2 linked regions of the Sus scrofa genome follow. The protein of the gene in region 2 interacts with the protein of the main gene of each other region in a pairwise test. Links are inferred from orthologs where the notes say so. Each region holds a gene or a part of one and is shown on either strand. Other genes may lie near its edges.

The links. The genes of interacting proteins can lie anywhere in the genome.
Region 1: the proteins of ATP10B (region 2) and TMEM30A interact in a protein complementation assay, tested with the Homo sapiens proteins (2 studies listed by IntAct, with this or other methods). The link is inferred for Sus scrofa from reciprocal best matches to the Homo sapiens genes ATP10B and TMEM30A.

Annotation. Positions count from the first base shown.
Region 1 is NC_010443.5:90,637,707-90,642,154, reverse strand, and holds the start of TMEM30A (cell cycle control protein 50A), read right to left. Parts: upstream 2,885-4,448; 5' UTR 1-2,884. UniProt on the Homo sapiens protein: Accessory component of a P4-ATPase flippase complex which catalyzes the hydrolysis of ATP coupled to the transport of aminophospholipids from the outer to the inner leaflet of various membranes and ensures the maintenance of asymmetric distribution of phospholipids.
Region 2 is NC_010458.4:62,854,622-62,858,269, reverse strand, and holds part of ATP10B (probable phospholipid-transporting ATPase VB), read right to left. Parts: coding exon 3,463-3,648; intron 1,705-3,462; coding exon 1,104-1,704; intron 1-1,103. UniProt on the Homo sapiens protein: Catalytic component of a P4-ATPase flippase complex, which catalyzes the hydrolysis of ATP coupled to the transport of glucosylceramide (GlcCer) from the outer to the inner leaflet of lysosome membranes.

The DNA of each region.
Region 1 (4,448 bases), on a different chromosome or scaffold from region 2:
TGGTACTGAAAAATATCTGTTCATCTTTTCTACTAGATACAAGCTTCTCAAAGTCAGAGACATTTTTATTCATTTCTACATTTCCAAGATCTGGCAAAGTGCCTAGGACATAAAAGATATTCAGTAAACCTTGTTGAACTAATCTGACCTACTCTCAATGAACTACCATTTTAGTGAGAAATACAACCTGCCATCAAACAATTGAAATATAATGAGGTCAGTGCCATAGAAGACGTGTGTGCCCAGGGGGTCTGAGCAGGTACCACGCCTTGTCCTCTTTATGACGTCAAAAATTAAACTGTGAGGAAACAGATCCTAAGATCTGAGTGATATTTTGGTTTTCCACCCAGGAAAGAATAGAATCAGAAATAAAGGGATACAGAGAAAGTTGAACCTCATGCTACACTTATCATTAATGATTTGCAAAACTGTATACCCTGGCTAATCATGTTCTTATTCTCAAGCAAGATCTTAGCAGGTTGCTGTTGCCTTGGAAACAGAGATCTCTGGTAACTTCCACTTTTGGGAGATACTCAGTTTGTTTGCTTGTTTAGTCCATTGTCCCACTTCCTACTTGCACTGATGCTCTGCCTGGGAACTGGTGCTTAGCTCTCTTGCTATTGTTGTATAGACCATCTAGTGATCTGATGAGGGCCCTTGATCCTTGCAGAGAGCATATCTTCCTTTAGAATCCATGATTATGGAGAGTCTTGTCTTGTTTAACCCAGATACTTCATATATGAAACCTTAAAATGAGCATAGAGGCAAGGGAAGAAACAGCAGACTACCCAATTTTGTGAAGAAAACCTGGGGTCTTACTGCTGGGGTCTCTCCCTTTGGGATTAGGAGTAAATTACTAAGTGCCTACAAGACACCCTGCCATTTTGACTGTGCATATTACTTGCTCTCAGGGAGGAAAAGAGATATGCAGTGGGAGCCAGAGAGACCAAAACTGAGAACCATGGAATGGTTCTGTGAAGATGCAAGGAAGAGACATGGCAGCTGGAAGAAGGAATTACATTATCCTTTACAAACATTTATGCAGCTAGTGTTTCACTGTGAGCAACACACAAGTCCTGCCTTGGAGACGCTAACCACCAAACTAGGGAGAGAGCTTTGTACACCAATGCTGGTCAACAGGAGGCAGAACAGGATAAATGGCTTCTGAAGAGAAAGAAGAAGAGATTTTCTCCTCAAATATACCTGTCTCTGAAAGAAATGCCAGAAATAACGCTGGAGAAAACTAAAGGAGGACTGAAAAAATCATCTATGTCTTCCAGGGAACTGGGTTCCAACCACTATCTGCGGATTGGGTTGTTCTGCCCAGAACCACACAGTCACTAAGGGTTGCCCCCGTTAAAGAGAGGTCTCAGGACTTAACATCTTTCATGGGTTCCTTGGGATTCAGTGAATACAAATTTCAAAAGTAGATTTTAGTGACATTCAAAAAAGAAAGGAATAGGGGGCAGTGTGCCCTATTACCTACAAACTTGGGGCCCAAGAAAGTTACTCCAGTTTCTCTACCCATGAGAAAAACCAGTTCTCATCAAAAGTGACTCCAGGCCAGGGCTCAACAGGAGTAAATCCATTTGAGCCAAATATTGTGGAAATCCTGAGAACCCCACCCCCCTTCTCCTGGGAAGTCATGAAATGACGGAATAAACAGCATTTTGGACGGGCTGGTGCCCTTTTTTTTTTTTTTTTTTTTTTTTTTAAAGGCTGCACCTGTGGCGTACTGAAGTTCCCAGGCTAGGGTCAAATCCACAGCCACAGCCAAGACCATGCCAGATCCGAGTCACTTCTGCAACCTACACCACAGCTCACAGCATCCTCAGGGATCCTAGCCGGCTGGTTACCTATGAGCCACGAATGGAGCACTTACCTATATGCTCCTCCAAGAAGAGAGGCCACAGCGCCACCCTGTGGGCAAGATCTCTAATGTCTGCAGCTCTCCAGTGGAAGGCATCTTTTTTTAGACCTCTGCCTTGCCTGCTTTTTTGATATTTGTATCTTTAAATAATAAATAGGAAAAACTCATTCATTTGTCCCAAATAATGCAAAGATAATTTATGACTGGCTATGCCTATGGACCACCATTCCTGGCAGAGGGCTGATAGACAAAAGCAGCCAGAGCACAACTCCACCATCAACCCACCCCCACTTTGCTGAAACCATTACCTAACAACCATTACCTGCAGCTCCGCGGCGGACTGCTGGCAAAACCTCAGCAGTATTTCCTTTACTGAGTAACCTACCATTAGAATGACACCAGAATGCAGTGGGAAATATCTGAATGTTGATGGACAATGTATTTAAAGAGCGGAGGGGCAAAAGAAATTCTGTAGCAAGTTCCATCTCTTGGTGTCTTGCAGTTTCCATCTCACTAAGGACTCAAACTATGATGTAACTCTGAGGAATTGTGCCTCTTATTTTGGTAGATCTGCTGAACCACCTCTACTTAGTCACAGTGAAAAACACCACGTTTAAAGAAAATATGAAATGAAGTGACTCTTTTTGCCGCACCTGGCACAATGCTGGATCCTTAACCCATCGTGCCACAGCAGGAATTCCCAGACATAACTATCTTATTTTTATTTTTTGCTTTTTAGGGCCATATCTGAGGCATATGGAGGTTCCCAGGTTAGGGGTCCAACTGGAGCTACAGCTGCCAGCCTACGCCACAACCATAGCAACGTAGGATCCGAGCGCGGTCCACATGCACCAAGAGCTTAAGGCAACACCGGATCCTTAACCCACTGAGCGAGGCCAGAGATTGAACCCATATCTTCATGGATACTAGTTGGATTCGTTTCTGCTGAGCCATGGCAGGAACTCCCAGACATGGCTATTTTAAAGCAAACAATTTAAAAGAAGATCAAATACTCATTTTAAATGATTTTAATTTGATGAATATTATGTTCCAACTGAAAAAAGAATATTGCACAATGCTTTCATGTCACAATTGTTATTTTTCTCACCTGGTGGGATTTTGATCAACAACACTGACTTTGGAAATAACACAGAGAAAATCTTAATTTTTTTTTTTTTTGTCTTTTCTAGGCCACACCTGAGGCATATGGAGGTTCCCAGGCTAGAGGTCTAATGGGAGCTGTAGCCACCGGCCCACGCCACAGCCACACCAATGCCAGATCCAAGCAGCATCGCGACCTACACCACAGCTCACATCAACACCGGATCCTTAACCCACTGAGCAACACCTGGGATCGAACCTGCAACCTTATGGTTCCTAGTTGGATTCGTTAACCACTGAGTCATGATGGGAATCTGAGAATGTCCTGATTGATTAAATAATTTCAATACCCTGTGAAGAACTAAAAGTAGGATGTTACATTCATATAAAAGACAAGTACATATCCATAAATTCACTCAGCTGTGGTGAAAAATAATAAACTTCTCATGGATTTAATACAACTTAAAGAAGCCAAAATTGAGAATGCTGTGAAAGTAAAATGAAGCTCCCAAATTTTTCAGTGTGATCTCTTGCTTTTGAAAATACAGTAGACCTGCAAGACTTCTAAGAGTATCTGATCACATTGGAAGCCTCTTATAGGAAGCTAACTTTTTTTTTTTTTTTGCTTTTTCGGGCTGCATTTGTGGCATATGGAGGTTCCCAGGCTAGGGGTCCAATTGGAGCTACAGCTGCCGGCATACACCACAGCAACGCAGCATCCAAGCTGCATCTGTGATCTACACCACAGCTCATGGCAATGCTGGATCCTTAACCTACTGAGCAAGGCCAGGAATCAAACCTTCAACCTCTTGGTTCCTGGTCAGATTCATTTCCACTGCAACACAAAGGGAACTCCTAACATTTGATATTTTAAAAGCTAAGTCCAAATAAATACAAATCGAAACTGGTAAAGTAACAAAATCTGTGAATGATGAAGTCAAATTTCCTGAATAACATAAACAAATACAAAGAAAACAACACCAGAAAATAAATGAATCATGACATGGCACCTATAAACATTTCTGTCCAAATTCATGAATCTACAGAATTTTCCCCAAGTAACAAACACAGTTTTCATCATAAAATTATGGAATAAATGCTAAAAATTTAAGAACATAAAATTTTAGTAGTCACTGAGCAAAATTAATTCCACAAACACTCCCAATTTTTAGGGATTTATGATAATTTTTGTTGTTTTCCCTCTTTGCCTTCTGACTAGTATTTTTAGCAGAGGCATAGCACTGGGGCGTGAGCGAAAATAGGCTTCAAGTGCCAGATATGTGTTTTTTTTTAAACTTCACATCTTGCATTTTTATTATTTTTAGAATTGTTGCTCATTAGATTCATGAACACACCCTACTTTTGCTATGTTTTTTATTTATTTCCATGAAAATTCAACCACAGTTTAAAGAGAAAAGACAGAAACATATTAATTGCATTGTGTGATACGCCATTTACTCTTGCTTGTCACTGATTT
Region 2 (3,648 bases):
GGGTCAAAGTGAATGTTGCAACACTGTAAATACATTAAGCCTGATTTATTTTGTTCCCTACCTTTTCCCAGCTTTGCTTCTCAAATATTACAGTAACAATGTATATGTATCTTTTATTGGCCACATCTATAATCCATTTTGGAATCAGCTGAGGAACAAATAAAGAAACATCTCTGGAGGCAGCTTGGATTACTGTTGCCCAGGGATAGAATGCTGTGTCTCCCTTGACTCAGCAACACTGAATTCACTTGTCTGCCAGAGTCTGGGGATGAAGAGACCTAATTAGCTCCCTTCCCTTTCTAAACACTCATCAATCCTTGTGAACCTCCTGGCTCTGATCCATAGCTGATAATACAGGAGGCACATGGCTGCCCAGGCAATTCTAAAGCTTGGCTGGAATCTACTATCCTGGGAGAATCATAGCCTCATAACTGTCTTCTCCTTGTTAGCTGTCAGGAAACGGCTGCACACTAATTCATGTTGCTCCAAAATTGGACACTGATATAGAGGGACTTTGGAACATTTTTCTGGCTTGGAGCAAGTTTATGAAAATCCATTTGGGGGAGGCTGAGGAAAGGGATGATAAAGAGGGCCACCTGAGGCTTCACAGAGTGAACTGAGCTTGATGCAGAATTTTGGTGGCATGGACAGAGCTCTGAACTGGGATTCACGATACCTCCATGTAGCATTTACTGTTAGTTAGCTGGACCCATCTCTTAAGCCAATTCCCTCTTTGGGTTCAGGTGGCTTCTCTCCAAAACTAAGAGTTAGGACCAGAGTATGTCTAGGATTCATTAATGGATGTCCTGGTGAAAAAAAAAAATTGTATGGGGAGTCTATATTTAAATGAGTTTGGGAAACTAGAAACTGGGATAAAGTTAAAGAGGTTCCCCTATGACAAGACTTATTAAAGCCTTTAATAAGCTAATAATGAGCTGTGTAACTCTCCAGGTTGAGAAGATGTAGCAGGTTTTAAGGAAGCTGCTTTGAGAGCATTTTGTGGGTTTTGCGTTCCAGGTGGGACTCTCCAGACAGAGTGACACTATATAACTCCAGCCCCTTATCAGCCCTCCTCTCCTGGACTCTGGGTCAGGTGGACTCACCATGGGCGGGGTCTTCCAGCAGGTCCATGATGACGCAGTCGGCGCCCTTGGTGTAAACGATGATCTCACCAGTCAGCGGGTGCCTCACCACCACAGACATCCTCTTCCTGACAGAGTCAAAGTCCAGTGTGCAGAGGACATCAAAGGTGAGGCAGGTGCCTTGGGGCAAGCGCACGGTCACCTGCTCAGGCGTGCGGGACACCAGCGTGAAGCTGTAAGCATGGGCAGCGTGCACCAGGGCAGCCTCATCCGGGCTCTCGGCCTCATAACAGAGCTCTGGGCTGGCCAGGCCGAGGGCTGGGGCCTGCAGCACCTCCTCCAGAGAGGCCCCTGTTCCCACCTCTAGAATGTCACCCTTCTCCCATGTGCTGCTCCTGTAGCCACCGTCGGTGGAATAGCCGCCGCTACCTACAGACTCATCATCTCTCTCTTCTGAGTCCATGGTGGGCATGTTGGCCCCAAAACTCTCCCCCAGGTCTGTGTCGGAGGGTGCAGTGGATGAGAATGACTGGCTGAGACTTGAAAGCTTCAGCCTGTGGAACAGCTGCTGGATCTTCTCCAGGGATGTCCCCAGAGCCTTAGTTGAGGGTGGCATAGTGACCTGGCGGTGAAAGAGGAAAAGAAAACATTCCTCTTCAGGTTGGGAAAATTATCAAGCTGCCTCATGGCAGAATAACAAGATCATTCTGCCAATCAGTGGTTCAGGTGATCCTTCCTTGATGATGGGCAAGTCCTCCCACCTCTTAACATGAAGGAGTGAGGCCATTGGTTTCCTCCCAGCCCTGAACTCTAGGGATTGGTGATGCTCATTTTCCTCTCTCTTATGACCATTCTACTGTGATCATTGGAAAAGCAAAGTAAAGGAGACAAAAGCCAGACTAAGTAGGAGACCCATGCCCTGAACCCTTTCCATTGCCTTGTCTGCTTTGTTTTTGCATATAGCATCTTACTTCATCCTCCCAGCAACTCTAGGGGATACTATCATTTTCCCAATTTCTGGATGAGGGGAAACTGATGCATAAAGAACTTAAATTGGTTGTGATCAGCCAGTGTGTAAGTAGCAGAGCTGAGACTCGGATCTGGGTCTGTCTCACTCCACAGACTGGGATCTCAAAATACCTGCCAGCTAAAGCCCCTCCATTAACTTCAAAGTTGAGAACTGGATGCTGTTCTTCCCCAAATGGTAATTCTTTCTCACTTGAAAATAGGGTGAATTTCTCAGATAACACTTCCTGCCTCCAAAAACTCCCTAAAGACTTCTGATAACTTGCCAAATTTTCAGGGTAGTTTAGAATCGGCGTGTAATAATGGGAGGTTCTGGTTTGGTACCTGGGTGAACCCTCTTTGTCTTTTTTATTTTATATATTTTATTAAAGTATAGTTGATTTACAATATTGTGCCAATTTTTGCTGTGCAGTGAAGTGACTCAGTCATACAGACACATACACACACACATTCTTTTTTTAGTATTTTTTTTCATCATGGTCTATCCCAGGAGGTTGATAAATATAGTTCCCTGTTCTATATGGTAGGACTCCATTGCTTATCTATTCTAAATGTAATAGTTTGCATCTACTAATCCAAATTCCTAGTCCATGCCATTCCTGTCCCTTCCCTCTTGGCAGCTACAAGTCTTGAACCCTCTTTTTCTTAATATTGTGGCCACAAGTTTTAACATCCATTTATTTTTATTACTCACTTATAACAGAGCTTGGATGAGAGTTTGCAAATAACTGAAGATAAATCTATCTCCAGTACTGAAAAATAATTCAGAGTATAACCTTCTATAAATGGCCATCCAGCTGTGTTAAGTCCAAACTGGCAGACCTTCACACTTGGTGTTAATTATTTTTTAAAACCCCCATTAGAAAGCAGATACCTGTATACCATGATATTATTAGAGAACTGTACAGATGTTTCTGCCATGTATTAACCATATATCATTCCTTAAGTTACTCAAGCTCTTTGAACCACTGTTTTGTCACTTATTAAATCCAAGGACATTATCTTATAGGGTTGTTGGGCTGTGAGGATTAAATGATAATGCAGGTGACATGTTTGGCATGGAGAGGAGGCACATAGCAAGTGCTTAGTAAATATTAACTTTTAACATCTACCCTGAAGACAGACACAAAATGTGAAAGCTACCCAGAGAGCTTGTATGTAATTTTTTTCCATTTTATTTAAAAAATGAGGACACTGAGGCCCAGAAAGGATAAGAGGTCTGTTTGAGTTCTCACAGTGGTTAAATGGCGACACTGGGCCTAGGACCAAAGTATCTTGTCCCCCCTGTGCAGGTCTTCCCCTTTTGCCTCTACCCCTCTACACATCCATCCCACCCCACCATCACTGTCCTTACCCTCTGCCGGGGCTCGGTGGTTGTGGAGACCATGACGGAATTGCAGATGGTTAAGGCAAGGAAGAAGTCAGCAATGGAGGAGGTGGTGGAGAGGGAAGGCTTGGAGGGTCTGGTGTCTGACAAGTCCTCCAGCCACAGAGCTGCATCTTGCACCTTGGTCAGGAGATGCTTATCTGGAGTCACATC